4 linked regions of the Cricetulus griseus genome follow. The protein of the gene in region 2 interacts with the protein of the main gene of each other region in a pairwise test. Links are inferred from orthologs where the notes say so. Each region holds a gene or a part of one and is shown on either strand. Other genes may lie near its edges.

What was found.
Region 1: the proteins of Cep126 (region 2) and Yae1 interact in a two-hybrid assay, tested with the Homo sapiens proteins (2 studies listed by BioGRID and IntAct). The link is inferred for Cricetulus griseus from reciprocal best matches to the Homo sapiens genes CEP126 and YAE1.
Region 3: the proteins of Cep126 (region 2) and Hmox2 interact in a two-hybrid assay, tested with the Homo sapiens proteins (2 studies listed by BioGRID and IntAct). The link is inferred for Cricetulus griseus from reciprocal best matches to the Homo sapiens genes CEP126 and HMOX2.
Region 4: the proteins of Cep126 (region 2) and Nudt21 interact in a two-hybrid assay, tested with the Homo sapiens proteins (2 studies listed by BioGRID and IntAct). The link is inferred for Cricetulus griseus from reciprocal best matches to the Homo sapiens genes CEP126 and NUDT21.

Annotation. Positions count from the first base shown.
Region 1 is NC_048596.1:240,632,697-240,640,962, forward strand, and holds the start of Yae1 (protein YAE1 homolog), read right to left. Parts: upstream 4,839-8,266; 5' UTR 4,787-4,838; coding exon 4,661-4,786; intron 3,249-4,660; coding exon 3,127-3,248; intron 1,422-3,126; coding exon 992-1,421; 3' UTR 1-991. UniProt on the Homo sapiens protein: The complex LTO1:YAE1 functions as a target specific adapter that probably recruits apo-ABCE1 to the cytosolic iron-sulfur protein assembly (CIA) complex machinery. May be required for biogenesis of the large ribosomal subunit and initiation of translation.
Region 2 is NC_048597.1:122,459,078-122,466,593, reverse strand, and holds the end of Cep126 (centrosomal protein of 126 kDa), read left to right. Parts: intron 1-176; coding exon 177-359; intron 360-2,833; coding exon 2,834-2,898; intron 2,899-4,676; coding exon 4,677-4,739; 3' UTR 4,740-5,161; downstream 5,162-7,516. UniProt on the Homo sapiens protein: Participates in cytokinesis. Necessary for microtubules and mitotic spindle organization. Involved in primary cilium formation.
Region 3 is NC_048600.1:41,904,848-41,912,654, reverse strand, and holds the end of Hmox2 (heme oxygenase 2), read left to right. Parts: intron 1-849; 5' UTR 850-885; coding exon 886-971; intron 972-2,535; coding exon 2,536-2,653; intron 2,654-3,297; coding exon 3,298-3,789; intron 3,790-4,402; coding exon 4,403-4,529; intron 4,530-4,616; coding exon 4,617-4,744; 3' UTR 4,745-4,889; downstream 4,890-7,807. Other genes in the region: Cdip1 (cell death-inducing p53-target protein 1), read right to left, coding at 7,300-7,411, 7,509-7,782.
Region 4 is NC_048596.1:170,225,834-170,234,137, forward strand, and holds the start of Nudt21 (cleavage and polyadenylation specificity factor subunit 5), read right to left. Parts: upstream 5,599-8,304; 5' UTR 5,462-5,598; coding exon 5,346-5,461; intron 1,127-5,345; coding exon 926-1,126; intron 234-925; coding exon 170-233; intron 1-169. Other genes in the region: prolyl 3-hydroxylase OGFOD1, read left to right, coding at 5,855-6,008, 7,743-7,888. UniProt on the Homo sapiens protein: Component of the cleavage factor Im (CFIm) complex that functions as an activator of the pre-mRNA 3'-end cleavage and polyadenylation processing required for the maturation of pre-mRNA into functional mRNAs.

The sequences.
Region 1 (8,266 bases), on a different chromosome or scaffold from region 2:
AAATTTGCTGCCTCAATTTCTTAATATTCTGTGCATTTTAAAGAGGGATCTAAGAAACCAGTAGATTATTTTCGCAGTCCCTTAGGTGTTCCTGCTAGTTTCTTACTAGGGCAGCATCTCTCAGCATAGCTAAATACTGGCCAAACAGCAACTGAAGCTGTCAGTATGGGACAATTACTTGGGTGCCTCTCAAGTCAGGCATTTCATATTAACTCCAGGTGGGGAAAAGTGATGAAAAATCCTTTCCTGATATCTAAGTCAAGGAACAAAAATCTGAATATGATCCTGCCTATGCTATATTACACTTTTCATGTTGAAGTAATATAAGTCAATGGGCTCAGTGTTTTATTCCAATGTAAATAACAAGGCTACAGTTCAGAAATAGTCTGTTTTGAGAAAACATGGCCAACTACTCACTACCTAGAAAACTAAGCAGTTCTTTATAGTTCAATATGAAATGTATTTTTTCTATTTTTCATAGAATTGAAGGTCTATAACCAATATGTAAATAAGGTCAATTTTAACACTTGGCTTTTAATTATTTAATCAATGATATAAATATTGTGTCAGTTTCTAAGGTCTCTTGATTTCAATGTATTGCTATTTACACAACTACTTTAAGCTATTTCTGGCAACTCTGGTTTGGTTGCTGGTGATGAGATCCTAAACCACCTGATACTGACAGAAGCAGAAAGTAGCATTAGATTTTTTTCCCCTTGATCTTGGGTTTTGCTAGTCTAAAAATGACTAGATTTTGATTAGAAACTTGAAAATGACAATGAGGATTTCTGAGCATATCTAAAGCTAAAAAATTACCAATAACAAAGACAAAGGCTTATATTCCATTTACTAATGTTAGCACAGAGCCCCTTATACTTCCACAAGGGGTAACTACATGTTAAATATTCAACCAATGGTTACCTTTTTTAGAAACACAATGCTCTAAGGAAAATTTGTGAGCACTACTTGCACTCCAAAAGGGGAGATAATTTTAGAGTTGTCTCAGGTGCTGTAATACGTCTACTGACACTCCCAGCTGTTTCACTAAACTAGCTGTCTGTTCCAGAATCCAAGTGAGGCTTGGCTTTTCTAAATGTTCATGCTCTTGTGTTCTGCAACATTCTGAATGTGAACAATCTGTCCGGATATGACTCTTGTCAGAGTTTTTGTTAAATTCAGCACTATTTTCACAGAGTCTTTCATCTTTAACTTCATCAATCTTTTTCTCAGCTGGAACTACATGACAAAGGTCCATATCCTCAATGGAGTCCAATAAATCTGTAACTTGGGGCTGTGGAGCGACTGACTTCAGACGTTTGAGCACACACTCTTCACACTGGCCAACTGCGTCCAGAAGATTATTGATTTTACTGACCAAAGTTGAACTATTACCATGAAGGTGACACCAGGAGAGCAAAGCACTGAATGAAAATATGAACAAGAGTTAAATAGGAAAAAAATTACATAGTCACAGGCATTTAGAATGCTAGGCCCTACACGTTGTCCTTCTACAAAACATCAGGCAGAAACAGATTAGTGATAATAATAATACATGTCCAAATTAGGAAAATAACAATGTAAATAACACTAAAGAATAAAGCATCTTTTAATACAAGCTACAAGAAGACTTAATTATATTAACTGCTTATAAATCATACCTCCTCCTTCATAGCTCTGTACCAATTTTTTTTCTTTTTTTTTTCCCCCAAGACAGAGTTTTTCTGTGTAGTTTTGGAGCCTTTCCAGGCACTCACTCTGTAGACCAGACTGACCTCGAACCAGAGATCCATCTGCCTCTGCCTTCCAAATGCTGGGATTAAAGTTGAGCACCACCATTGCCTGGCCCATTTTTTTTTTTTTTTCTATTTTCCTTGACTATGTAACTTCTATGCAATAAAATATAATTTACCTAAAGACCAGAAAAACCAGTCCCTCCTTTTTGTTCCTTTTAAGGCAGAAAACCTAGGCTTGCTAAACTATTAGAAGGACAAAACACTATCGGGAAGAGTATTTTAAAGACTTCATCCTGGGCTACTCATTGTCACAAAGTGTTGTCAATGGAATGTTTTCTTCTTTCTTGGCAGTACTCAATATTTAACTGAGACATCAGGCCTGTGAGGCAGCCCCAGGTTCTCCTTTAAGGACATTAAACAACTTCTAAACTGATCATTCTTAATCTTTGTCACAAATTAGAATCACTAACAGAGCTTTAATTTTCTCCAAAAGTGTTAAGAATTCTACTTCAAATACACTTAATTATATTTGTTACTTTTCTAGTAGACGACCCTTCCTCCCGGATTGTTTATACAATTTAAGAAAACAATGGATCTCTCTTTCTTTGGTGAGGATTGAGCCCAGGGCTGTGTGCATGCTGAGCGTACACTCTACCTCTGAGCTGCCCCCTCCCGGAAAATACTATACAAGTGAAATTGACTGCTGTGAAAGACGAAGCAGTATGCTTTCTAAGTCATAAACATGAAGTGGAGATGACCCCTTGGTCCCTTTCCTGGTGTAGTAAATTATATATTCTAGTTAATTTTCTAAAGGTCTCAACATAATTTAAAACAAACGATTCTTTTCTGTTTTAAAATTTGTGATTCTTTGTAGCAGTTTGTTTCTCTATAAAGGACAGTTGAAGCATTACCCACATCAAAGAGGCCCACTCCATTCTTAGTCACCATGTGTCATCTGAGCGTTTGACTACTCTCTAATATTATTGCTATGGCATTCTGACAGGCATTCAAAGTTCAGGGCTGAAACACATAGGACCTCTTTCCATTAGTAGTTGCAGCTTTCCCAATGGACTTCTAGCCTACAGGCCTGCCATACTACATGTGGGAGTACAAAGAGCCTTATTTGGAAGCTCATCAGTGATTAGTGCTAGTCCAAATGGCAAAAAAAAAAAAAAAAAAAAAAAAGACACCTTCCTACCATTTCTTTGCAAAAACAGGAAAAGCATCAGACACACACATATTAAAATGGATGAACTGACAACGATTTTATATGCTCTGAAGACTCATGTATTCAACATTAGGAAAAGCTTTTATTTTTACATATTACCTCCATTAAAAAAAATCCATTAGAGTTGTGGTTAAAAGGATTCATTACTTAAATTTTTAAAATTACCTCAATGTTCCTCTGAGTAATCCATAGTTTATAATGACTTCTGCACCTTCTTTATAACCTTGATTGAAGCCCTGTTGGAGAGTAACTGCTTTGCCAGCATCTATTCCATCTCTGTAACCTTCCTAAAAATCAGAAATTAGTTGTAACTGACTCCAAGTAAATCTTTTCCAGAAAAGCACAGGACCCCTTTTGAAAATAGATTTAGCAGGTTTTTACTATGTTAACTGAACATGATATGGCAGAGACTTAAATCCAAAGCAGAATGTTTCTTCTAAAACCCTCTTCCTGGCTTGTACTTCCTTATCACATGTTTTATTTTCTTAAACCTTGTTTCCAGCCTGGCCTGGAACTCATAATCCTACTGCCTCATTCTCCTAAGTGATGACAGGCCTGTGCTTCGATGCCACATCCTGAACTCACTTTGGAAATATAGGGTTACTGAATAAACATTGGACAACAGTTGTTATGTAATTTTTAATACCTGTTAGCAAGTTCTTCACAGAAATGGAAACCTACATGTCTGGTCTTGGTAATGGACTACAACAGGGTAGTTAATGAGGCTGGCAAGGCCGGGGAAGAGGAAACTATTTTTAGGAACAGATGAGAGGAAGTCTGATTTTAGAAATCTAATTCGAATGTGGCATAGAGATTTTTGTCCTCTTATAATTGGTCTAGCCCCAAATTCCTAAGGCATTTTTATAATGGCATAATGGTTGTTGGACTCAACAAATACTATTAAATTAGGGTAGATCGAAACTGCAGTTTTAAAAAGGCAATTAAATGGCTGATAAATATATTGGGTGACATGGTTTTACCTTTTACTTTAAAAATATTTATGTAACATATATTTACTTGGGGGGGGGTGTTTCATGCTCCAACTTGAATGTGAAGGTCAGAAGGAACCTATTTTGTCCCTCCAAGATGTGGGTTCCAGGGGTGGAACTGAGATCATTATACTCTGGAATCCACCTCTATTTGGACACAGATCTTATCAGTTGTCACCCAAAACTAAGCTGACCCTACCCTCGTATTATTAAACAAGTTTCAATGAATGGTGAGACGGATCCGGAATGAATGACACATTTCAAGGAAAAAGTGAAACAATATCCCCTTCTCTACCTTCCCGTCCTTTGACAATAGTTTTAAATTCACCTTTACAGAGTTTTAGTAACACCACACCCAACTTTGGACTCTCCACCCACTGAACAACATCTGTGAATGTGCGTTTTCTGCCAGCCGTTAGTCTAGTCGGTGTATATTTCTCCCCTTCGGCTCTTTTCCTCCCCAAACTGCAAACTCTTGAGGGACTGGATCAAGTTCACTTTAGTCGGTCAGTCCCCTGATCCAAATCCAGCCGGGGATCTCAAAGAACGAGCCTGTTTAAAGGTTACCAAGTAACCAACCTGGAAATCCTAAGACTGGGGCGGCCGTGGGGGTCACCGCAGCCGTCCCCCTCCGTCCAGGCTTGCCCCCGCGAGCCCCAAGCCCCGCGTGGGAGACCCATTCCCGCGCGTCCCGGTCCCTGGCCATTTACTTGGATTCGTCTCCTCATGTGTCCCTGCCATTCCCGCTGCACTAACAGAGTCTCGTCCGCTTCCTCGTCAAACACGTCCTGATCCCCAGAGCTGGGAATCTCGGGAACCGCTCGGACCCAAGACATCTCCGAGGAAGCCTTGGGTCCCGGACCACCGGAAGTGCCGGCAAGTGCTTCCGGCCAGGGGGCGGGGCGAAAGGGTAGGTGAAGGATGAAGGGGCGTGTGCGTCTGCTACAGCCCTGCGACTAGGGGCTGGGTGGGGCTGTCCTCCCACGCTTCTGGGTCCGGAGGCGGGGTGGGTGCTGGGAGCTAAGTCCCGCCATTCAAGGGCTGAGACTCAGTTTCTGCGAGTGCTGAAGGCGCTGGCCAGCAGCGTGCAGCCGAAGACATTGGACTATGAAAGGTGATTCTGCGGTCAGTTTGAGATGAAGTAAAACCAGCATCCATTGGCAGTTTCCCTCCCAGCCTTCCGCTCCGGCTCGGCTCTGAGAGTTCAGGAGTGTGGCTCAAGCATTAGCCGCTTCTAGCCGGAGTACGTGTTAAAGAACTGGACGCCAGCGTTCCTGTTTTGTCCTTTGTGTGAGAAAAATGAGTCATGTCATTGAATTTTTCTGAAAAGTTTTCTGGAGTACCTAGTTTACATCGTTTTAGGCCTTTGAGGGACAGCGCTCCATAGGAATAAAAGTTCTCGCCCTGAGTTCTCAGACCCTGTGGACTTCCTATTAGTGTAGAAATGGCAGTTGACTAAGAATAATATATAAATAACCCAAAATTTAAAATGTAAATGCACTACTGTGGGAGAAGAGAAGATAGGTTACGATTTTTGTGCTGGGGATTGAGCCCCAAACCTTGTAAATGTGGAAGGAGTGTTGTGTCAGTAAGCTATTCCCCTGCAGCCCAAAGTTACTATTGTACATTTTCAGAGTTTGTATCCCGTAAATCTATATATAAAACCAAATATAAAATGTGTTAAGGTGTATGCATATATAGGTATTAATTAGAAAAAATGGTAGTGATTGAAATGAATAAAATAGAAAACTGGAAACTAATGCTTGTGAGTTGGTTCAGTAAACACTTGCCATCAAGCCTGAGGAACTGCGATCAATCACCATGATGGAAGGAGAAAACCAACTTCTGAAAGCTATTTTAAAACCAAACATTCTAATACAATGCAGTCTGAAGATATACTGATTGATACTTTTATAGAAATACAACACTGAGAAATGGTGGTAGGGAATATTAAAGGTTGTTGTATTTCTATAAAAGTTTTCTACAGTATGTATAGTAGAAACACTTCAGTATCTAGTATGCAATAGTCTTGGCTCTGATCCTAGGTGTTGGAGGCAGTGTTTAGTGGCACTGTGTAGCTTGATGGCAAGTGCATTACACAGTGTGCTTGCCGTGTGTTCAGGTCAAGGCTGCAGTGAAGCTGAACAATACAGCATAAGTCAAATGCTGCCAGAAACACCTTTGACTCCTTTTGGTTTTGAATTTTGGATTGTTTTCTGTTCAGAGACCTCTCACTGTTGCCCAAGTTTTCATGACTCTCATCTTCAATTATATGACCTCCTGATTCAAGAAGGTGTGTGTGTGTGTGTGTGTGTGTGTGTGTGTGTGTGTGTGTGTGTGTGTGTGTGTGAATGCACATGCATCTATGCAGCATATCTGTATGCAGTGTGTATGCAGGTATATGTGTACATATGTGTGCAAGGGTGTGGATGCTGGGGGTTAATATCTGATGGCTTCCTTACTCATTCTCCACCTTATCTTTTAAGACATGGTTTCTCACTGAACTAGACAATCGTGAATGGGGTAGGCTGTCTGGCCAGTGAACACCAGGGATCTGTCCCACTGCCACTAGAGCTACCACACCAATGCCAAATATGTGAAATAGCAATTCAGAGTCAGGTCTAAATATAAGGGTATTTATTTAGGAGGATCCTACTCATCACAACAGCCTAGCCAGCCAGCAGGGAGCAAGGTAAGTAGAAGAAGGGGCCCCATGTGCTTGCTTGCCTGTCCCTCACTCTTAAGCTTTCCTCCCATCACCCTGACCATGCCCAAAAGGGTGTGGCCAGGCACACCTGTAACCAGCCCCAAGCAGGTGTGGTTACAGTGTCCCCTACACCACACCTTTTTATGTGGTTGCTATGGAGGTGAACTCGGCCTCAAGCTTATGCAGCAGGCACTTTATCAACTGACCCATCTCCCCAGCTCCTGTAGTATTTTAAAGGTTCCATGTGTATTCTGGACATAAGACCTAAGTCAGATGCATGTATGCAGATGTAGTCTTTGCTCTAATTATATCCACTGAGAGGCAGAGTTAGGAACACAATGCATGTGAAAGAGACCAAGGAGAGCAAGTATATGCAGGCAAAGTAAGCTTTCAGAAAGTGATGCTGATCAACTTCTGTGACAAGGGAGGCAGAACCAGCGTCCTGGGCTGGCGTGTGTATTTCATGATGTCTTAGCTAATGTATGAAGAGCTCTACAACAAAGAACAAGGGAAGTCATACATTTGGGTCACACGGACATGTCATGCTCCCTTGTCAGCTTAGTTATGCCTGGAGAATGTCCTGGAACCGTGTGGCCTTGGCTAGGAAACCACAGCATATCCCATAAATACTCACACCTTCAATAGCCAGATGATCTTTCAATGTCCTCTCATGTGTATTATTCTATTTTCCAAAATTGCATCCCCACTCTTTAAAAGAAGAAAAAAAACCTCATAAATAACTATGACACCCTTGCATAAATTTTGATGTCATGATGTGAACTTACTCTGGAGGATTTAAGAACTGTATCTTGCAACTCAGTATGTCTCATATAAACATACTCTAATAGGGTCAGCCTTTAAGATTCACCACATTTTTCTCCCCAGTCGCCTGCTTGTCATTCATCTTTGTCTTTACTTTCAAAGGCTCCAACAATTCTTCTTTATGTCTTTCTATTTCTCATCTCCTGCTGACTTCCATTTTTTATCTTGGTTTTCCACACTCTATTTGTGCTCTTGCAAGGTGCTCTTTGGTAGTTGACATAATAAACTCCAAGAGGGCACAAACCTTTCTTAGAGTCTCCCCAGTATCTGGCATGGACACTTAATCATTCAGCCTTGGTAACTAGGCAGCAGAAGATTTCTTTAAACCAAGGAAATTTGGTTTCTTGCTTGTTTCTCCTGAACTTTGGCAAATACTGTCTTTAGTGTTCAGCAATAGATTCCCGGGTACCACACTGAATTGCTTTTATCAAGGTGTCACTAAGGTTATGTAATATGTATTAGAAAAATTGATATGAGTGGCAAAAATAGGTGGGAGATCATTAGAAATGCAGCAGAAATGGAGCGAGGGCTTGATGGTAAGGCTAATATGGGGACTATAGGCAGTTGCCTCCTTTAATTTTGTCTCTAGAAAACTCAAGCAAGCAGGAAAAGTACTTTAAAATCCAGTACAAAGTGCTTGTTGACTACCGAAAAGGACGAAGGAGGAATGCCAGACAGGAAGCCTAATTTATCTTTCTAATGGCCTATTGATGGGCAGTATATAGAAGCATGCTCAGGTTTGTCTCATCTTTCAAAGATCTCTGATTACCTCCAGGCTGTTTCGTAG
Region 2 (7,516 bases):
AGTGAAACCCTGTCTCAAAACCAAAAATAACAACAAAAATCAATCAAACAAACAAAATACACAGTAACAGAATATTTGCTGACTTCTGTTTGTGGCCTGAGTATATATACAGACATAATTTCAGTAAGTCAATCCCAAAGACAAAGTGATCAGAGAGTCAATATCAGTTTCTGTAGTTTCAGGTAGTACTTCTGAGCGTTTGGTGCCTGAGGATGAAATTCTGACTGCCATAAACAGCAAGCCACTACAGAAACCAAATCTGTCCTTGAGTAAGACCCATCCAGCCAACACCTGTGCAGTGTCAGCTGAAGAACAGAAGGTCCTGAAGTCCCTCCGTCACCTCAATCAAAGGTTATACTGTAAGTTTGGGGGCACACCTTCTGTAAGACAGGAACATGCTGTTCATAAGCTTATGTCAAATCCTTATTTAATTTAAAACTTTGAAGTAAAAACACAAAATATATCTAGTTATCACCTTAATAAATCATCTAAAAATTGAGAATATTATTAATACTTTAGATAATTGCAGATACACCATGTCTTTTATAGTGCTACCAACTTCTATACTTTATTCTGTTTTAGAAGTATCTGAACATAAGCTGGGCATGGTGGTACAAACCTTTAATTCCAACACTTGGGAGGCAGAGGCAGGCAGATCTCTGTGGTTGAGGCCAGCCGGGTCTACAAAGCAAGTTCCAGGACAGCCAGGGCTACATAGAGAAATCCTGTCTTTAAAAAAAAAGAAGAAGAAGAAAAATATGAACATACTACTTGTGTTTTAACAATAAACAAACGAGGTATCTACGCTGACCATCATAAAAATAACTTTATCAAGTATTTTTTAATTCTCAACTTTGAATACACATAGAATTTTTAAAACTAAGTGTGTGTGGGCATGGAGAAATACCTGTAATATCAGAACATGAGTGGCTAAGACAAGAGGAGCAAAGGAAGCTAAAGACCAGCCTGAGTGGCCTATCAAGCCCCAGACCAGCTCGATAAAAATCCTGTCTTTAAGGGAAAAAAATTAAAAGTATTTTTTAACTAGGAAAGTAAGGATAGAGATACAGCAAACTTTCAAGCTAAAGATGTTTGATTAGTGGAATAATTAGAAGGGAACAATACCTGGTAGTTTCAGAAAAGATACTCCACAATTAAGTTGAACCACCAAAAAAATCCATGCCTTTCAACCACAAAAAGTGGGGAGGTTTTTAAGAAACCAAAACTTTACCTTTCTTCAACTTCAGTATTGAGCAGCCAACATAAGGGAGAAAACATCTCTGGTGCTCTAGAAATGGAGCCTAGTGTGCACCTCATACTAATTATAGCCCATGCTCATAGTACCAGCATGGTCTATAAATCCTGAAGCACAGGACGTAATTGAAAATGATCTCAAACTCCTAACACCTCCAGAATAATAGAGGAAACGTATATTAATATCCCTTTTGATACTAATTGCGATGTGGCCAATATTCGAGTTTTCAAAGAATGATCACAAATGTGATCTAAAGAAAATGAATAGTCAATAATCACCAAAAACTAATCCATAAAGAAAAAATCCATTAAAAATTCAAAAGAGGGATTGAGAGATGGCTCAGAGGTTGAGAGCATTGGCTGCTCTTCCAGAGGTCTTGAATTCAATTCCCAGCAACCACATGGTGGCTCACAACCATCCATAATGAGATCTGATGCCCTCTTCTGGTATGCAGATAGAATACTTGTATATATAAAATAATTAAATATCTTTCAAAGAAAATCAAAAGATATCACAATACATACTAAATAGACCCCAGACACAAAAAAAAACTAAAAAATAACTATGTTTATATATTTTAAATAATGAGAAATATGTTTCAAACTCCAGTAAGGAAATGTACAATATAAAATGACTTTGCCTGTTTGGAAATTACAAATCCTATGAGTAAATAAATTTAAAATTCAGCTCATTATTTATAAACAACAGATTATAGACATCTGAAGAGAGAATTAATAAACTAGAATATAAATCAGAAAAGCCTGTCCAGAATAAGGTACAAAGAGGTGAGAAGTAGCAAACGAGAGCTTAAATGACGAAGCTGTAAGACCTGAGACTGGTTGGGGATCACGACTCTCCAATTTAATGAGTACTACTAGCATGTAGAGTGAAAAGCGCATTTCAAAATAAGTAAAAAGAAATTCTTGGGGACTGGAGAGATGCTTCAGTGGTTAAGATCACTGGCTGCTCTTCCAGAGAACCTGGGGTTCAAATCCCAGCACCCACATGGCAGCTCACAACTGTGTGTAACCTCAGTTCCAGGGGATCCAACACCCTCACACAGACATACATGCAGGCAAAACACAAGTACACATAAAATTAATTTTTAAAAAGTGTGAGAGGGGTCCTGAGTTCAAGCCCCAGCACAGGAAGTGGGGGAAGCTGGTTACATAAGACTGGCTATCTGGCCTGGAACTCACTATGTAGACCAGATTAGCCTCAAACTCATAGAGACCTGTGTGCCTCTGCATTCTGACTATTGTCATTAAAGGCATGAGCTACCACAACCACCAATTTTTTTTTTTTACTTAAAAAGAATAAAACAAAAGGAAATATGACATTGGAATGAAGATTGTTTTATAAAATCCCCCTTACCAGCTTCAGCTTTTTATAATTGTTCTTAATTAAATTGCTTTCTTTTTTGGACCTATTTGCAAATAAGGACTATTTCTGGAGTCAGTAGGAAAAGAGTGTCATATTCAATTTTGAATATTTTGACACATTGAAATTTTGTTGCTAATTCTTTAGTGATTCTCTTTATATACATAACTATTTTTGTATCATGGTATGATTTTTCAGATGTACAAGAAGCCATTTACAAAAACCCATCCATCAAAAATACTTTACAGTTAATACCACTTCTGGTAAGTATTTGCTAAGTTCCTCCTTTGGTTGTTTCATGCAGACATTACTGAGGTAAAGACATTCGCAGGGGGCTGGAGAGATAGTTCAACAGTTAAGAGCACTTGTTTTTGCCAAGGACCAGTCATCAGTAACGCTAGTTCCTGGGGATCAGATGCCCTCTTCTGACCTCACGGGACCCAGTTACACATGGTGTACATATGCATGTGCAGGCAGAACAGTCATTCACACAGAATAAAACACACAAGTCTTTTCTAATGTGAGAACCTTGTGAGGTTTTGAGAGGAGAGGATAAAGGCTGAGTGCCCTGAGTCCCGGGATCTTGACAAGACAGAGGAAGGTTGTTCCCGCTCTCTCATCCAGTAGTCCTTCCCTGAGAAGCAGGGTTTGCACAGTGCACCCCAGGCACACAGGTTTGGAGCATCCTTGTTGGCAAGCACTTGTTTCATACTAGCTTGGGATTTCCCTAAATTTTTTGTTACCTAATATTACCTAATTTGGTAATATTTCCAGTGATACTTTTTCTTCCTGACAAAAATGTATTGAGTTCAAAATTTGCAAATTTTAAGTATCTTTACTTTGATTTGTGTATTATGAGACATTGTTTAATTCAAATTTTAAGTACTTTTTTCTTCAAAGGACATCAGAATCTATGGAGAAATGTCAATTAGTGACCTAGAAGATCAAATCTATGACACAGATTTCAGTGAGCTGTGAAAAACAGTTTTATCATGATGGGAACTAACCCACTAATGATGGGTAACCATCTAGCTACATTTGGTCCAAATGCTGGCTTAGTGAATTTTTCTTCTTTCATTTTCCAAGACAGGGTTACTGTGTAGTCCTAGCTGTCCTAAAACTCACTCTGTAGACCAGGCTGGCCTTGAACTCACAGAGATCGGCCTGCCTCTGCCTCCCTAGAGCTGGGATTAAAGCCATGCACCACTACCATGTGACTTGAAACAAAATAAATTTAATGAATTTTTAAGAAACAACTTTATCTTCGGTCTAAAATATATGTTAAACATTCCTAGGGTCTTACATGACTTCTAAGTGTTTTTGTTAAAATAAAAAAGGAAGAAGACAAAAACTATTATATACACACATATACTATATACACAACAGATGGCGTAAGTCCCTCTGCATATTTTGTGGGTTTTGAGACAGGGCATCATGTAGTTAGCCTTGAAGTCTGGATCCTCCTGCCTCTCACCTCTCACTTGCTGAGGTTACAAGGTGTAGCACCCCTGGATTTAGAAAGCTGCTGTCAAGGATCTGGAGACAGTGGTGGCTCTGTGAGTAAAGTGCTTGCTGTACAAGCATAGGGACATGAGTTCAGATCCCAGCCCACATAAAAACAGCATAGTCTGTGGCCCTACCCTTAGGAGTGGACACAGGTCAATCTCAGGGCTCTGCTGCCCAGTAAGTCGGCCAAAATGGTGATCCTCAGGTTCAGTGAAGGGACCCTGTCTCAAAAACAGAAATAATAAAATAAGTGGGAGGAGAAAAAAATGGCTGAATTCAACCTCTGAGCTCCAGGTGCACATAGACAAGTACACCTGCCCATGCACAACCACAACCATGCACATGCTCAACAGACACCCCTTTGAAGCACGCTACCAAAGGCAACACATTAAGATTGTGAGTTATTACAGAGAGCAGGCACAGCATTGTTGACACTGATCTATGTAGTCTTCTTAAAAGTCATAATCTGGAGGGAGAATGACCTATTAACATCTGTGGATCTGACAATATGAGAACCCTCTAAACTCTCTTACAGAACAGCCAGCCAAGGACCAGGTTCTCTCCTGATACTGGATCCAGAGTGCAGAAAAAATACTGATCAACTGTGACAGTCACTATTTAGTGGAATCATTATTTTTGAGAATCCTGTAAATAAATTCTGTATTTCTGCATTTATTAATGATTTAAAATATTAGACTTTATAAAAGCAAATCATAATGTAAGTAATGGAAATGAATTTACTAGCTTATATTTATGCTACAAATTATACTTTATTATGTATTTTCTTGATACATTTTTAATGAATGAAATACTTCATTGTTTTCAATAAGCATGCTAATGAATATAAATTTTCTCTATTTAAAAGTGAAAGAGGCTATTTTATTATTCAAATTATGTATTAGGTATGATAGTGAAGCTTTGTTTTCTGAAATTACTAATTCTAATAAATTTTTGTACAAGTATCGAAGAAGCATATGATTGATAACATCCCCCATAAATAATAAAGCTATTTGTCTAAGACTTTGTAAGATCTCTGCCTTTTGTGTTACCAGGAGGTTGAGTTACTAGCTTGCACGGTCAGTAATTAATATCATTTTAATTCATGAGTCATTTGAATATCAAAAAATAAAAAAACTGACAACATTTTAAAAATTCTTAGTAAGAGCTAGAAAAATGGCTTGGCATTTAAGAGTGCTTGCTGTTCTTTCGGAGGACTGGAGTGTGATTCCCAGGAGCCACTTTTGGTGACTCATAACAATTAGTAACCAACTTGAGTTCCTAGGGATCTGATACCTTCTTCTGGCTTCCACAGGCGCGTGCACACACACAAGCAAATACACAAACACATACATGTAAACAATACAGTTTTAAGATCCAAAGGGGTGGGGTAGACATGAAAACTGAAACGTGCTGGTTAACTTTTCTCTATTAAGTATATTTTATTCCCCATTAGGAATATTATTCACTTGTATAACAAGACTTATACTAGAGATTTGCTTTCTAAAATATTGAATCAAAGCCAAAAGTTACATGACCTTTCAAAAACGGTTAATAGTGATAGGCCCAAATGTGGTGGTGCACACCTTTAATCCAACACTTGGGAGACAAGAGATAAGTGGATCTGTGTGAGTTCAGGGCCAGCCTGGTCTACAGAGCCAGTTCCAAGATAGCTAGGGCTGTTACACAGAAACAGTCTCGAAAAGCTAAGCAACCAAAGAAATAATGATCGTCTCTCACTGTTTTAGTTCCTTCCCCAAGTACTTGTGCTTCAAACCCTCATATGGATTATTTCAGCTAAATTTCTTGCTTCTGATAGGATCTCTGAAGTGTGAATTACATGCTGATACAAAAAGGCAGACCTCTCACTGCTGGAGAAACATCCGCTCTTTAGCCCTTAATACTGTTTATCTGGCTCCTAGTATTCTGAGTCCTCTTTTACTGTCTACCATAGTGCTTGCCACCTTTCCTACAATGACAGCTAATCAAACTATTTATAATTCCCCCAAATAAAGCCTGTTGTTTCATACTTCTGTGCCTGTTCATTCAATGTTGGAAAGGCCTCCCCACACACCTCATAATCTCTGAGTAATCATTCATTCACTGTGTTAAATCCAGTGAGGTTGAACTTCGTCCAGATTTTTTTCCTAATGATCATCTCTACTCTTTACTCCAAACAAATGATGTGTTTTACCATAAACTGAACTTACTTGCACACATGTGACTCTTCTTCTTAGTCAAGAATACCTGGAAAGTCCATATTGTCATTTGTGTACTCTAAACAATTAAAATAGCACACATTATAGAAGACCCAAATAATGAATACAGGAGAAAATACTCAGTCACTCTTCTGTACTAAACATAGAAAAGAAAAAAAGAAAAGAAAGGAAAGGAAAAGAAAAGAAAAGAAACTATAGTTTATACAAGAAATACAATTTTAAATATTTAAAATAAGCTGTGAGATAATCACACACAGCAAGCCAAGAGCCAGCATCAAACTAAATGAAGAGAAACTCAAAGTGATTCCACTAAAATCAGGAACAAGACGAGGCTGTCCACTATCCATATCGATTCGATCTAGTACTCAAAAGTTCTAGCTAGAGCAATAAGACAACAAAAAGAGATCAAGGAGATACAAATTAGAAGACAAGAAGTGAAATTTTCACTATATGCTCATGATATGATAGTATACATAAGTGACCCCAAAAATTCTACCAGGGAACTCCTACCTCTGATAAACACCTTCAGGAATGTGGCAGAATACAAGATGAACTCAAAAGAAATCAGTAACCCTTCTATATGAGAAGGAAATCAGAGAAACATCACCCTTCACTATAGCTACAAACAACATAAAATACCTTGGGGTAACTCTAAACAAACAAGTGAAAGACCTTTATGACAAGAACTTTAAATCTTTGAAGAATGAAATTAAAGAAGATATCAGAAAATGGAAAGATCTCCCATGCTCTTGGGTAGGTAGGATTAACATAGTAAAAATTAGCAATCTTACAAAAAGCAATCTACAGATTCAATGCAATCCTATCAGAATCCCAACACACAATTATTCACAGACCTTAAAAGAACAATACTCGGCTTCATATGGAAAAACAAAAAACCAAGGACAGCCAAAAACAATCCTGTATAATAAAGGAACTTCTGGAAGCATCATCATCCCTTACTTCAAGCTCTATTATAGAGCTCCAGTAATTTAAAAAAGCTTGGTATTGGCATAAAAACAGAGAGGTGGACCAATGGAATCAAATTGAAGACCCTGATATTAATTCACACACCTATGAACACCTGATTTTTGACAAAGAAACTAAAATTATGAAATGGTAAAAAGAAAGCATCTTCAAAATATGGTACTAGCATAACTGG
Region 3 (7,807 bases), on a different chromosome or scaffold from region 2:
TACAGAATAGGGCTGGGGACAGTTTGCATTGAAGACACTTGAAGGTGTCTCAGGCTTGTTGAGTTGTTCTGTTCTACAATGGAAATGTTGGGCACAGCCTGGCTTAACCAACTCTAGCCAACACTGCTTCTGTTCCTTTCACCTGGCAGCCCACAGGCAGGACTGTATGGTAAAATGGAAAGCCTTGCATTGTTTAATAAGATGAAAGTTCCTGCAGCCTTTTTAAAAATGTAGCTTTCTTTTATGTCTTTAGTGGCTTTTTATTTGTGTATAATTTCAGACATGCAGAGGAAAAAAAAAACCGATAAGACTAGTACAAAGAGCTTTTGTAGCCCAGTGGTGGTGGTGCACACCTTTAATCCCAACACTCAGAAGGCATAGGCAGGCAGATAAGTGTCAGAGCTCAATGCCAGCCTGGTCTACAAAGCAAGTTTCAGGACAGCCAGAACTGTTAAACAGAGAAACCTTGTCTGGGAAAAAAATAAACAACAAAAAAATTAAAAAGAACTTTTGTATACCTTTTACCCAGACTGTCAGCATTTTATCTTATTTGCTTTCTTCACATGGATGTATACTACATACATTCTTCTGAAGTGCTGAGAGTAATTGCAGACAGCATGCCATTTACTTCTGAATGTCAGTGTGTATTGCCTAAGAACAAATTCAGCATCATAATTCTGTTACCTAGCCCACTGTCCATCTTCAGATCTGTCCATATTCTGAAATGGTCCCAGTAATGGCAGAGCTTTGTTGTGAAAAACAGTCTTGAGGTGCAGAGGTGTCTCCTCAGTTATGTTGGCTTAAAGCCAAAAGACATTATTCAGTCACCAATTCCTTCTGTCTCTACAGGACCAGAGTGAGGGCAGCAAGAGCTACTCAGCAACAATGTCTTCAGAAGTGGAGACCTCGGAAGGGGTAGATGAGTCAGAGAAAAAGAACTCTGTGGCCCCAGAGAAGGAAAATCATACCAAGTGAGTGATAGCAACTGGCTGCTTCTCATTGGGAGGGTCCAGCACCTGTTTTGCCATCTGCCCGCATGCCAGTTCAGTCTGTCGGTGGCACTTGGGAATGCCACAGCCCTGAGCTGTGTAGAGCCTGGGATGTTTGGTTGGCACTGCAGGGCACTACTGTCCAGCCTGGGCTGTTCCACTCTCTGGTTTTCTGTGTTCTGTTACCCAAGGAAACAGGCCAGGCCAGATAGGAGTGCTGAGTCAGGGTTTCATAATAGTCATCTTTCTCTTCTTCTTCTTCTTCTTCTTTTTTTTTTTTTTTGGTTTTTCGAGACAGGGTTTCTCTGTGGCTTTGGAGGCTGCCCTGGAACTAGCTCTTGTAGACCAGGGTGGTCTCAAACTCACAGAGATATGCCTGCTTCTGCCTCCTATGTGCTGGGATTAAAGGTGTGTGCCACCAATGCCCGGCATCTTTCTTTTCTTAAAAACCAAGTAATACCAGGCATGGTGGTGTGCACCCCTGATCACAGGCTAGCCTGGTCTACAGAGCAAGCCAGTACATCCAGGGCTACATAGACAAACCCTATCTTGACAGTCAAGGAAAAAAAAAAAACCTAAGTGGTTTTTCACCTGGGCTAATGAGGAATAATGAGAGGAAAAGCTGGTTCCTTTTCCTTTTACAAGGTCATCTCCCTACCAAATGTGGAATCTGAACTCTGTTCTAGGTCAGGGCTTTACTTGCTAATCTCTCTAGGGCTCAGAATACTGGCCCTGATCTGCGTTTTTCCTAGCCTTTCACTAAAGTCCTGTAGTTGGCTAGGTTATTTTTTTTTTTTAGAAGAACAGTGATTTTTTTTAAGGTTTTATTTATTATGTATACAACATTCTGCTTCCATGTATATCTGCACACCAGATGAGGGCACCAGATCTCATAATGGATGGTTGTGAGCCACCATGTGGTTCCTGGGAATTGAACTCAGAACCTCTGGAAGAGCAGCTAGTGCTTTTAACCTCTGAGCCATTTCCCTAGCCCCAACAGGCAGATCTCTTGAGTTTGAGTTCTACAGAGTTCCAGAATAGCCAGGGCTACACAGAGAAACCATGTCTTGGAAAAACCAAAAAAGAGGAGAAGGAGAGAAGAAGAAAAGAATACAAAGCCAAGATCTTGGTTCTTGTCTCTCCACTGTCTCATCTTTTCACATCTGGGCCCATCCACATAATATCCTGAGGAATTGGTCCCTCATTGGGAGGAAGGCAGCTTTCTGGGCTGAATTAAGTCTTGTTTCTTCAGCCACTAGGTGGCCACAGAAGCCAAAACATCATGCATTTGGGTGCTCTCTCTCTCTTTCTCTCCTGTCTCCAACCCCTCTCTCCATAGTAATAATCTTCATGCCCCCTGAGTTTTTGTGGCAGATTATCACATTTGCCTACCTTGTGCTGACAGCGCTCACCTGTTCATGCTGGACTGGTGTCTCTGCAGTTCCAGCTTCCAGTTTGTATCTGGGGTCTAAACTGTCTTTTTCCCTTTAATCGTTTTTGGAGAACTGGAAAGGGCTACTGTCTCACACACAACTCATTTCCACAGAATGGCAGACCTCTCTGAGCTCCTAAAGGAAGGGACCAAGGAAGCACACGACCGGGCAGAAAATACCCAGTTTGTCAAAGACTTCTTGAAAGGAAACATTAAGAAGGAGCTATTTAAGGTTTGTGCCCTCAGTCAGATGGGGTTGGAATCTAAACTTTAATAAGGGATGGGAGATGGGGTGGCCTTAGTTGGCTGGGAAGTTGCCCTACAACCACTCTAAAGTAGAAGCTGCTGGGTATTTTTCTTGGAGGTGGTCCAGATGGGCTCTAACCCTGGGTCCTCCAGCCTCAGCTTTCTGAATATGGGGGATGAAAAGTATGTGCCTCCACGACCAGACATAAATTTTTATTTCCTGGTGTTAATCATGGCTGCCCTAGCCTAAATGAATTAACAAAAATATGTTTGTAAATATTCAGTCTTTTCTTTAAGAAGCTACAGAAGCTTCCTAGTTGTGTTAAGTAGTACACTATATAAAAAAAGGCATCAGAGGGTCTTTGGAACTGGACAAAGTGGCTTTTGTCTTGAGCTACTCTTAAAACATAGTGAATTAAAAAAAAAAAAAAAGAAAAAATCTGGGTAGTGGTGGCAGCACACACCTTCAATCCCAACACTGGGGAGGCAGAGGCAGACAGATCTTTCCTTGGTCTAGGACAGCAAGGACTACACAGAAAAAGCCTGTCTTTGAAAAACAAAACATGGTGGGTTCTAGAGCTGCTGGCTCAGTTTATAATCTTCTCCCACAATCTTCCATTGCCCTCACAGCTTGCCACTACCGCACTTTATTTCACATACTCAGCCCTTGAGGAGGAAATGGACCGAAACAAAGACCACCCAGCCTTTGCCCCCTTGTATTTTCCCATGGAGCTACACCGGAAGGAAGCACTGATCAAGGACATGGAGTATTTCTTTGGTGAAGACTGGGAGGAGCAGGTGAAGTGCTCCGAGGCTGCCCAGAAATATGTGGATCGGATCCACTATGTAGGGCAGAATGAACCAGAGCTGCTGGTGGCCCATGCTTATACTCGTTACATGGGGGACCTTTCAGGAGGCCAGGTGCTGAAGAAGGTGGCCCAGAGGGCACTGAAACTCCCCAGCACCGGGGAAGGGACCCAGTTCTACCTGTTTGAGCATGTGGACAATGCCCAGCAATTCAAGCAGTTCTACAGAGCCAGAATGAATGCCCTGGACATGAATTTGAAGACCAAAGAGAGGATTGTGGAGGAGGCCAACAAAGCCTTTGAATATAATATGCAGGTACTGGGTACAGACCCTGGATGCATGAACTTGATCTTTTAGCAGTAGAATCAAAGCCAGAGCTTTCTTGAGAGGCTATTTGTAGCATGACAAATGAGCTCCTATATACCCTAGAGAAAGATGAGGGAACCAGTTAGCCATCAGAGAGCATGGGGCCAGTGTGTAGCTCCCAGATGGAGGCCTGGTTTGAGGCCCATGCCTATTACTGGAAAGGGCAAAGCTCTAGCATTTGAGAGGTCTGAAAATAGAACTATCCCCCTCTTTCTCGCTACAGGTTTCTAGGATTGATAAATGGGTAATTTCCTCATTTAGTAGCAAAGAAAGGAAAAATATTTAGTATGGAGCCAGATTTAATTGGAAAGTAGAGTACATTTTATAAGTCTTAGGTAGGTAGGGCTGATCATGCAGAAGCCATTTCTGATTCCAGAACCCCATGTCAGCCCTCAGTGTCAGAACAGCAGCAGTCAATTGAACTCCCACTAAGACTTGGTTTGATGTTCAGCTGGTCCTGATCAGGTGTATCTAGGCTGTAGCTTCTCTATGGGTGGTGAGTAGGTTGCAAATTCTGAGTCTGCCTAGTTCGTGGATAGCTCAGTTGATTTCTGCTCCTCAGATATTCAGTGAACTGGACCAGGCTGGCTCCATGCTGGCAAGAGAAAACCAGGAGGACGGGTTCCCCATGCACGATGGGAAGGGGGATGTACGTAAATGCCCCTTTTATGCTGCTCAGCCAGACAAAGGTAGGTTGTGGGTCCTGAGCTAACATTCTGGAGTGGGTGTGTCATTGCCCTCCACTGATGCCATGTCTCCTGTTGTGCTGCATGCAGGTACACTGGAAGGCAGCAACTGCCCCTTCCGGACAGCCATGGCTATGCTGAGGAAGCCTAGCCTCCAGCTCGTTCTAGCTGTCAGTGTGGCCCTGGCTGCTGGACTCTTGGCCTGGTACTACATGTGAAGGACCTGTCCTGTCATTTGCATCCTACCTACCCCAAGTGACCTATTCCATCCCTATCTCCACCTCTAACTAAACAACCACCTCAGGTGACTTTTTTAATGCTGGGTTCGAGAAAACAAGCAACCAATAAAAGCCAGACACTAGAGCCTCTGCGTAACAGCATCTTCTCTGCCAGCCAGGTACACACCAGGCACAGGCTGCACTACTAGTCAGACTTGGACTTCTGATCTGGCAGTGCTCCACGATTTTTGCCATTTTGGAGGCCTGGGTGCATTCTCTTCTTTAATAGTGCTTGGAGTAGTGCCTTGCTTGGGAGTGGGCAGTCCACACACCCAGGCTTTGTGGTAAAGAGTCATGCCAACTGATGTTCACTTTCTAGGCCTCAGGGAGCTTTTGGGGGTGGAAACTATGCTTTTCTGTCTCCAAGCCCAGAGTTTATCCTGTTCAACTGGGATTTCCCTAAGAAGCCTGTTAGCCTGGGCTGTCTTCACTGACCTATATACATGTTACAGCACTTCGGACACCTCATACTTCCTCCTCCCTGGGATAGGGTAGGTGAGACTACCTCCTGGTCCCCAGAAGTCTACAAGGAAGTAGAGATCCTCAGAAATAGTGGCATGTTGCATACATCCTCTTTTGATGACAGCCCTCCCCTGCTTCCCAACACTCCTAGCCAATTCCTAATACCTTATTTTTCCATGTATTCATGCTAAGCATTATAAAGATCCTTAATGTCTACTTGAACCTGTGGTTTTTCTTAGAAATACTTTGAGGTAAACAATTCATGGTCTAAAATAGAAATGTGGGTTAAATATTTTTATTAGTAGGAATCTATTCCTGTAAAATTCTGTGAAAAAAAAAAAAAGGTAAAACAGAAGGGAAACTCTTGAAAGGTGAGCCCACGATTTTCACAGTTGAGATGGTTGGATTTAACCAAGGCCAACCTGGTTCAGAACCTGAGTGCCCGGCTTCATCTTCAGACTATATATAAGATCTCAGTCCAGTAGTGCTATCTTGTTTAAGGGCAGAATAATACTGCCTTCGGGTTAGGAGGTCACTAAGTTGGGAAAGGGCTCCAGTTCTCAGGCTCTGCAGCCTGGACACCTAATTATGTAAATGGTGGAAACCAATGCTGAAACCAAAACCTCCCTGGCCCAGAACAGCTAGGTCCCCCTAGAGTAAGTCTATATATATAAATTCTGGTTTGGTGTAATTGGGTTCTTAAACATGTGTTGTTTCCCAGGCCCAATCTCTTGCTTGCCAGTATACTACCTGTAGACCCACCCTGTCCCTCAGAAAAGAAGGAAGCCAGGCAAGACAGCAGAGGAGGCCCAGGGCAGGGAAGTGAAAGGGCCAATTTAATGAAACTACAAACTGGGACCAGGCCACAGTTCACAGTGATAGGAGGCCATGCAGTGGTAGTGTGAGACCAGGAGAGGGACAGCAGCAGGACACAGTGTCCACGTGGGCATATTCACAGACCATTCAGGAAATAGTTTGGGTTTACACCCTGGCTGGGCAAGACTCATGTGCTTAGGATACCCCCACTACTTGTGACTTCTTCCTGGTCCTCAGCCTAGTGTCACAGTTCTCCCTACTGAAGTGCCCCAATATGGAAGCAAGTCAACTATGGCAAAAAGACTGGCACTTATTCCAGAGACTCATGAACCTACAAGGAGGCTGTTATGATCTGCCACTCTCAGTAAGCTACCAGGTAAAAGTTATACCCATATATAGCACAGACACAAAAGTAGACAGACAGGACAGGGTCATGGGCATTCATTCCTTCTGGCCCCAGAAAATATAGGGGTTCACGGAGATGTGGCCAGAAAGGAGATCTGCACATTGACTCAAAGGAAGCTAGATGAGAAAGGGGGCAAGTTCTTCTTGACTACCAGGGCCTTTAACTAGCCCAGTGTCCTCTTTGCCTTATACCAGGCAACTCTTGGATACCTCCTGGACAGTGGGTAGAAGTCCTGGATTTCTATACCTGAGAGTTCTGAGGCCCAAGTTGGCAGTCATCATTCTTACTCCACCTTTGGCACCCCAGATAAGACAATATACTCCACATAAACCCAGGCCTTAAGACCCAGTCTTGCTTGGGTTCACTTAACTCTAGATGATTCCGACCTCATTCCAGCAGGTCAGATACAACTGTGGTTCCAGGCACAACCCTCACCATAGGCCCTAGTCTGGGAACCTATTCATGCTTTGGGTGCTTTTGGTCCCAGGAATAAGGACCAAACCTGAACCCTTATAAAGAAAGGACCCCAGTAAGAGACCCTCTCCAGCTCATCTTCTGGATTGCAAATGCCCAAACATCACACAAGATCAGTGTCACCCCCATGCCACCCACTGGCCCTTGGCCTTAAATCCAACGGAATTTTTGCTGGAAGTAGGATGCTCAGGGAAGGGCAAGGTGAGGACAGTATTTCCAGGGGACAATGGCAAAACTTCCAACCCTGAGTGGGGGCTGGGGGGAAGTGACCACTGAGCATAGGGAGCAAAGCACATGGGGCCAGACTGATAGGTGGGGGAGTCCAAGTCTAGCTCCGTTAGCACAAGCGCTTGTATGTGTAGATGTAGGCTTTGCAGCTGGGACACGTGTGCGTCACATCCTTGAAGTCATTGATGAGGCAGGGGATCAAGCAGCAGCCCAGATCACACCTGAATTGAAGACACAGATAGGCTGAGGCCTGAAGAAAAGGTCAGGCAGCATACAGACCCCCAGCAGTACCACCATTTGTCAGCACCCCACACTTACCCCATGAAGCAGCAGAAGAAACCCAGCACAAAGTTCATCAGGCCAATCTCGTAGGAGATCTTGGTGGTGATTGCTTGCTGGCAGTGGGGGCACACTGTCTGCACAGGTGCACCTTCAAAGATCTCTCCCTGTAGCACTGTCACTGTGGTAGCTGCCCCTGATGGCACCAAGACTGTGGCCGTGTGGCCCCCAGGGCCAGGATAGGGCCCTGGTGGGTAGGGTCCTGGTGGATAATAGCCCATAGGTGGGTGAGGGCCTGGAGGAGGGTAGAAACCTGGAACATACAAGAGAGGTCACTG
Region 4 (8,304 bases), on a different chromosome or scaffold from region 2:
TTATTTTGCAGAAAATAAATATTATACTAATTAAGGTTTAAGTTGTATTTACTGACTACTAACTATTCAAATTAACCATATTTTCACAAGACATATGAAAACTCAATCAGTAAGCTGGCGGTATTCAGATGGACAATGAGACTGTTGGAGTGGTTAAACAGAAAAATACCTCTGTCATTAAGCGCTTTAGGCCTTCAACTTCATCTTCTCCGGGGTTAAGTTCACCACCAGGTCTGTATAAAGGTTAAGAATTTAATACAATTTGGGGATAATATAGCAAGAACACAGTAATCATTGCTTCTATCAAGTAACTGAATGAGACATATTTCAGTGCCATCTGATGAGCAGTCAAGGACTGAAGGTGGGAGATGTGCTGTCAAGTTGAACACACAATGCTAAGTACCAGACAATCATATACAATCCTCGTTTTAACCAGAAAAGCCAATATATATAATAAACTAACCACTGGCCAGCAATCCACCACAGCCTCTTCACAGGAAAGTTATATATAATGGAGTCTAGCAAATACCCAGACAACAGACTACATTCTTTAGGTCTGAGGAATAGTCCATTTTTCAAAGACAGTTTTGAGGATTTTCTTTTTGGCACAATCTTAACAGTGAGCAAGTAAATATTTAGAGTTATGGGCTCAAGTGATTAAACTACACAAAAACAACCTCATTCAGTAATGTTTCTATCACTCCTAGAAACTGAGTTTGGGCTGATCTAGCTCAAGGATATTAACAATATATAAAACATGCAGATTTCTACTTTGGAAAGGAAGTAAGCACTACACTGGAGAAAAAACGTGACTGTTTTCTTTCAAGAATCTTTCATAGCATTTGTTTAAATAAATAATTGTGTTCCAAGCTAAAGAGTCAATTTATTACAAGTTGTCTTGCTGTTAATTTCCAACACTACTTACAATTTGAAGAAAGTTGTTCCCAGCTGTAGCAGTAACACATGGGGTAGCCGGTGCTCGTGCACAATCAGAACCCCTTCTACAGTCCTTCTCATCCCAATTTTATCAAATTCCTCCCGCATGCGCTGAAATCTGGCTGCAACAGAGCTGTCCTTCTCATAGAGGGGCTCTTTTGTACCAAAGGTATAATTGGTAAGCGGATACCTGTGAACCAAAGACAAGCATTTAGCATGAGAACAGATGATCTTATTTACCAGGACAGTTCAAAACAACATAAAAAAAAAAAAACAGTGGTCAAAGCTACACTGTCAAAGGCTGGCCCAAAACTTCACAACCAGCTATGAGATAGCAAAGATGAGAATACTGTTGCTGTCTTACTCTCGAAGCCAGAACTTCCATGAATTAAGCACAGACTGCATTGTCCTAAGGTCCCTGAAATGTTTATCAAAGTTTATATCCATACTGGTTTTAATCATTTCATTACACTAATACCAAATGACCGGCCTGGTTCTTCTGATTAACCTAGTTATAACTTCTATTAGCTAAATGGCACTACAGCTAATCTCTTTTCTCATATATGCTGAGCCACCACTGTCTATCAACATCTCTCTTGCTTTCTTTTAATTAAAAAAAAAAAGTCTTTGTACATGTCTTCATATGATGTTCTATGACATGTTCAGAGGTCAAAGGATAACTTGTGTGAGTCTGTACTCTCCTTTCACCATGTGGGTTCTGGGGACTGAACCTCACATCATCAGCCTTGGCAGCAAGCACTCTTACCTCAAGAAGTCCCTCTCCAACTATTTTCTGTCTCTCCCAGCAATACCCAGATTTTGCTCTTTTTTTAAAAAAAGACTGATTTATTATGTATACAATGTTCTGCCTGCATATATGCCTGCACGCCAGAAGCCAGCACCAGATCTTGCTCACAACCACACATGGTTGTGAGCCACCATGTGGTTGCTGGGAATTGAACTCTGGACCTCTCAACCTCTGAGCCATCTTTCTATCCCCTTGCTTGTTTTTTGAAACAGAGTAGTTCTGGAACTTAGACCAAGCTGGCCTTGAACACAGAGACCAGCCTGCTTTTTCCTCCCAAGTGCTGGATTAAGGACATAAAACACCACAGTGGCTTAGACCTGTTTTCTTTTTCCCTCTGAGTTTGGCATTTACCCTATCCAGTATGCTTACTCTTCCCGCCCATATCTAAGCTAAATAGCCTCTTCTCTCTATCTAGAACCCAAAGTATGACTTAAAGTGCTAAAGACTTCATCTTGATTAGTAAAGACCAAATTTTCCTTAAAGTTTAAAATCTACATTTATATTTCACCACATTCTACCTTGCAGCCCCTAAATTATAGGTTTTTTTCAGTAAGAATGTTTTGGCTGAACATGGCAAACTCCAAAGCATCTCATCTACCAAAAATAACAACAACAACAACAAAATCCTTGATACTGGGCTGAGAAGACAGTCAGTAAAGTGCTTATTAAGCAAGCATGAGGCCCTAAATTCAATCTCCAGCACCCACAAAAATAAACAAACATCCAGCCAGCACCAAACAAACCAAATTGAGCATGATAGCTCCACAAGATCCCATGGTAACTCTGTGAGAGATCTTGTTCTCAAACAAGGTAGAAGGTGAGAACTGACACCTGACACTGCCCTGACTTCCACACAAGTGCTGTGTGGCACAGGCACACCCATACAGTCACAAATGCTTCACACACACACACACACACACACACAGACACAGACACACACACACACACACACACACACACTCGAGTGCACACATACACTCCACATACAAACCCTCACATACACAAGTATATACATCTGCATGGATACATACAGCACACATATATCACACACAAAACTCTTGACATTAATAGACAACTACATACACAGTTTCCTTCTCAGTTCTTGAGAAGGAAAATCAAGATAACCAACAAAAAAACCCCACTAATTCCAGAAGTCAAATTCTAAGCATAAACAAAGTAGCTCTAAGACAATGAAAATATACCATTTTCAGGGGTCTTTTTTTTTTTTTTTTTTTTTTTTTTTTTGGTTTTTCCAGACAGGGTTTCTCTGTGTAGCTTTGGAGCCCATCCTGGCACTCGCTCTGGAGACCAGGCTGGCCTCGAACTCGCAGAAATCCGCCTGCCTCTGCCTCCCAAGTGCTGGGATTAAAGGCCCATTTTTCAGGGGTCTTTAACAACTACAAATAATCTTGCAGTAGATCCAATAATCCATCTAATATCATCATTATTAGGAAGAAGTTACTACACATAGTACAATTTACTGCACAATGCTTTCCAATGTGTTAACATTTGGTTTTCCCAACCTGCGTTAGAAAGAATTACCACCCAGCCACAATATATTTCTATTGCAAGGGCTATCTCCTACATCGTAAGATCCCAGCAGAATGAAACATTAGAATTTCCAGCTGTGAGATGTGAGCATCAGACCGCATAGAGCACATTTTCCACATCATACTGTGGGCATCTTAAAGTACAGTGTGCATCTTACTCATCCATCTGAGCACCTAGTCCTGTGTATACACACTGTGTGTTACAAAAGCACCCATTCCGTTTTCCCTAAATGAAAACATACTACAGAAACAAAGACCTACTACATACTAAATCCCATTTAGTATACAGTTCACCCAGGTGGACTCAAGTTCACAGCAATTTATTTCTCAACATTGCATTACAAAGGAAGTGAAAAATAACATGCTCACCTGTAAAACATCTCTAAAAGCACACCTATTTCAATAATTCTACAGTGGCCTGATGTCAACTGACCTAGGAATCAAGGATAGTATATATAAAACCCATGGCCTTCGCTCATCATTGAAGTAATATAGACCTTGTGCTTGCAGTTTTTACTTTTTGAGGTGCTGGAGATGGAACCTGGAGTCTTGCATACACTAGGCAAACTACCAGTTAGCAAACCCCTCATTCATTTTTTAAAAGAACACTTGCCTTCTCCATTTCATAGGAACCTTTGTTTTGTTTTGTTTTTTAAGAGACAGGATTCCTCGGTGTAGCTTTGGAGCCTGTCCTGGTACTCCATCTGTAGACCAGACTGGCCTCTAACTCAGAGATCCACTGGTCTCTGATTCTCAAGTGCAGGATCAAAGGCATGTGCCACCACCACCAGGCTCACAGGAATCTTATAAACATTTTTATAACAGGAAATTAAAGTGCAACTATGTATTTTGTTGCAAAAGTTAATTTGCACAGACATAGTTTTCAGCTACTTCCAGATTTTACAAACCTCATATTTTATTACCTAAGTTTCCAGGCCAGTAGTTGTTTTGACAGACAGTAATAGTAATTTTCTCAATTTTATGTCACATTTGGTTTTAGAAGGAAAAGTTCATTTACTTGAACATGAAAGCAAGAAACACAATGATGATTTACCAAAACACCATCAGCAAAGTCTTGCACTTTTTAAATACATAATCAGCCTGAACTGGCCACTTTCTTCCATTAGCATCAGCTCCACATTGGGCAGCAGGATACCAAATACTGAGTGAGCTATAAAGCTATATCCCAATCCCAACTTCTTGCTACAGCAAAATTTTGAGAGAGATCTCGAAAAGCAATAAATTGGTTAAAGGTGTGTTGAAAACAAAACCAGCCCACAGCCGGGCGTTGGTGATGCACACCTTTGATGCCAGTACTCGGGAGGCAGAGGTAGTCGGGTCTCCGTGAATTGGAGGCCAGCCTGGTCTATAGAGGTAGTTCCTGCACAACCTCCAAAGCAATACAGAGAAACCTTGTGTCCAAAAAAAGGAAGGGAGGGAGGGAGGGAGGGAAGGAGGGAAAGGGAAGGAAAAGAAGAGAAAAGAAGAGAAAAGAAAAGAAGAAAAAAACAGCCGACACAACAGGCTTTCTGGGCAACAAGCTATCTCCAACAGTGTTAAAGACCACCAGACAACAGAGTGTGTACTCTCAATCTAGGTCTACTGGGTGCAGGCGGTGATAGTGTCACTTCGGCAGACAAGACATACGAATGCAGGAGGTAGAGGACAGCACGAAAATGAATAAAATGTAGTCACTTGATAGAATACTACACAACACTTAAAGAAAAAAAAAACCTAGGCCATTAGAGGTAAATCTGGAAAACTTACTCTAAAAGAAATATACACCCTACCAAAATTATAGTTACTCATTTCAAATAAAAAACAAATACATGTGCAATGAAAACAATGGGTTGAAAGAACATGCACATTATAATGAATTCAAAGCAAACCATGACTGAATAAAGGAAAGGGAGAACAAATCTCTCTTCAAAATAGGAAAACTGCCAAATCCGGGGCGAGAAAGCGGTCTGGGGGAGAAGAAAGCGAGCATCCCGGAAGGGACATCCCGCATCCGGTGACTGTTTTGCCCGCCCAGGCCTCGCCGCACTTACAGGTTAATGGTGCGCTCCAGGGTTAGGGGCTTGGTCTGCTGGATGTACTTGTTGCCAAACTGGTTGACCCCCCGGGGCCAGCCCGTCTGCGAGCGGTTCGGCGGCACCACAGACATGCTGAACAGCTCCGATACAGGAGACGTGCAGAAAGCCGGGGCCTGCGGAGACTTCCGCAGGGCGGGCAGCGGTTATCTGCGTCCCGCTCAGCAGCCGCCGCCCGCCATTAACAGTCGAGAGCAAGAGGAGGCTAATGCACGCCGGAAGTGAATAGGCTCTGGCGGCAGGAAGTGGGAGGGTATCCCACCGCGACCATTCCGCCAATCGCTGGCAGGGTGGCGCAGTATGTTCATCTTCCAATGGTTAATTATGGATAGATCCAGCCTCCTTATTCTTTGGTGCCTTCCCATTGGGTGATGCTGGGACTAAAGAATGTGGCATTTTGGGAACTGTAGTTTGTGGAAGGAAGTCGTGTGTCTGACGTCCCTGGCGTGGAACTGTGCTTGGTGAGGATGAACGGGAAGCGGCCCGCAGATCCGGGCCCCGCGCGGCCAGTGAAGAAGGGAAAAAAGCAGGTAGCGGCGGAGTTTTCGGACGCTGTCACGGAAGAAACAGTGAGGAAGCAGGTGGCTGAGGCCTGGAGCTGCCGGACGCCATTCAGCCATGGTAATGGGGTGCTGTGAGGGAGGAGCGGCCGCGAGAAGAGGTGTGGGAAGGACCATAGCCACTCCGACTACAGCCCCCTACTGCTGCTCGGTTCTTTCCCAATTCTGCTTGATTTGACAAGCCTGGGGAGGAAAATATAGGTCCGTGAGTGTGGGGAAGTAGAAGACATGTAAACTGAGGGTTGAGTTCTAGAACCAGAGGTCTGCTGATTGTACATTTTGGGCAATGCATTTAACTTTGCTTTAGCGTCAGTTTCTTTTATAAAGCGTAACTATTAATACTATTCCCTTCGGGAAGGTAGGATTGACAAACTAATGCTCGTAGGCATTCATAAATGTTTCCCCGGGAACCAGTAAATAATCTGGCAAGTGTGGCATGGCCATCTAACCTGAACAGATGTGGAGAGCTGCCAGAGAACTAGCACCTGGAGAAACCGGTTTTCACGTGCGTTGTTGTTGGGCTACCTGACACATGAAACGAAAGTATCTTGAAAGGAACCATCATTCCAGACTTAGCTACAAGTTATTACCTTATACAGCGTGAATCTGGCTGGGTGCGTCTTGAATTTTCTTCCCAAGTTTGCCCTGTTTTTGTTGTTGTTGTCTCGTTTGAGTGTTTTTTAAAAGGCGAATCCTGGACACTCTGTACACACAGAGAAAATGAGAACTTAGTGTTTAAAGTGCAGGCTGTGGACTCTCCACAGAGAGTTCTCAGTTTCCTCATCTGTTGCATAGGCATAGTCAGCATTATCTATTCCTCAGTTGTTGAGAACGTAATTGAGGTAATTCCTGTAAAGCACCCCCGGGTCAGGCTCTTACTAGGTCCGGCCGGATTGGTTGTAGTCATAGGTTGATAATCTAGTGGAAGAGAAATCAATAAGAAACCAACTGATATTCCTTTTTTTTTGTTTTTTGCTTGTTTTTTTGTTTTGTTTTGTTTGGGTTTTGGTTTTTTTTGAGACAGAATTTCTCTGTAGGTTTGGAGACTGTCCTGGAACTCTCTTTGAAGACCAGACTGGCTTGGAACTCAAAGAGATCTGCCTGCCTCTGCCTCCCCAGTGCTGGGACTAAAGGCAAGTGCCACCACTGCCTGTCAGTACTCCTTTATTTATTTATTTATTTTTTAATGCAGTCACTTCCTCCCCACAGGAAACTTGGGAAGTAAGGTCAGGATTAAAGAGAAAATGGCCAGCCAGTTTTGCCATTCTCGTTTAATTTGCTATTCTTGTTTTACTTTGCTCTGGAGAAAGTGATGAGTTAAGACTCTAAAATGCATTGATGCAAGAATCAGTAAGCTAACAAACTAAAAACAAAACAAACTAACAAAAACCAGGAGTTTCCATTAGTGATATCTCCTTCACTCATTAATGACTAGCATTTAAGCACAGTATCTGAGAAAGGTAGTCTTGAATGACTAGAGGATTGACAACTTAAAATTCTTCTCCGAATCTTTTTTTTTTTTTTTTAACAAATCAGAGTTTCTTTGTGTAGCCCTGGATGTCCTGGAACTAGCTCTGTAGAACAGGCTGGCCTTGAACTCACAGAGATCCACCTGCCTCTGCCTCCCAAGCGCTAGGATTAAAGGAATGAGTCACTACAGCCTGGTTCTTCCGAATCTTAAACTTTAAATATTAGGTTTCCCAAAATTCATGATTGTCTTCTTTTGTATTATGTTGTGCTACTTGGTATAATACAGAAGAGAAGAAAGACAAAGGTAATATTTTTCTTCCAACAGAAGCTATTGTCTTGGACATGGATCCTTTTCTTCATTGTGTAATCCCAAACTTCATCCAAAGCCAAGACTTCCTGGAAGGACTTCAGAAGGAACTTTTGAGTCTGGACTTCCATGAAAAGTACAATGATTTATATAAGTTCCAGCAGGTATGTATTCCTATGTCTTAGCTCTTCCTCCTCAGAAATTCCTTGGCTATAAAGTCTTTCATTACTGGTAGCTAGGCAGATAGCTCAGTGGGCTGAGTGCTTACTGCTCTTCCAGAAGACCCAAGTTCAGTTGTTCCCAGAACCTCATCAGGTGGTTAATGAACCTATATGCACATACCCACGATGAAGCAGATAAAGAATTCTCTTTGCTTTCTTTGCATTTCCCCTTTGATTTTATCAGGAATAAGAGAGTAACTAACATCTCATTCTTTTCCACTGGAGCTGATCATCTGGTCAGCTAATGGTATCCTAACCCAATCCAATTTGTAGACCTTGTACATATGATTGAATTATCCAAACTAAATATTTGAGTGACAAAACACTCGGAAAATTAATGCAAATCAAACTTTTATTCC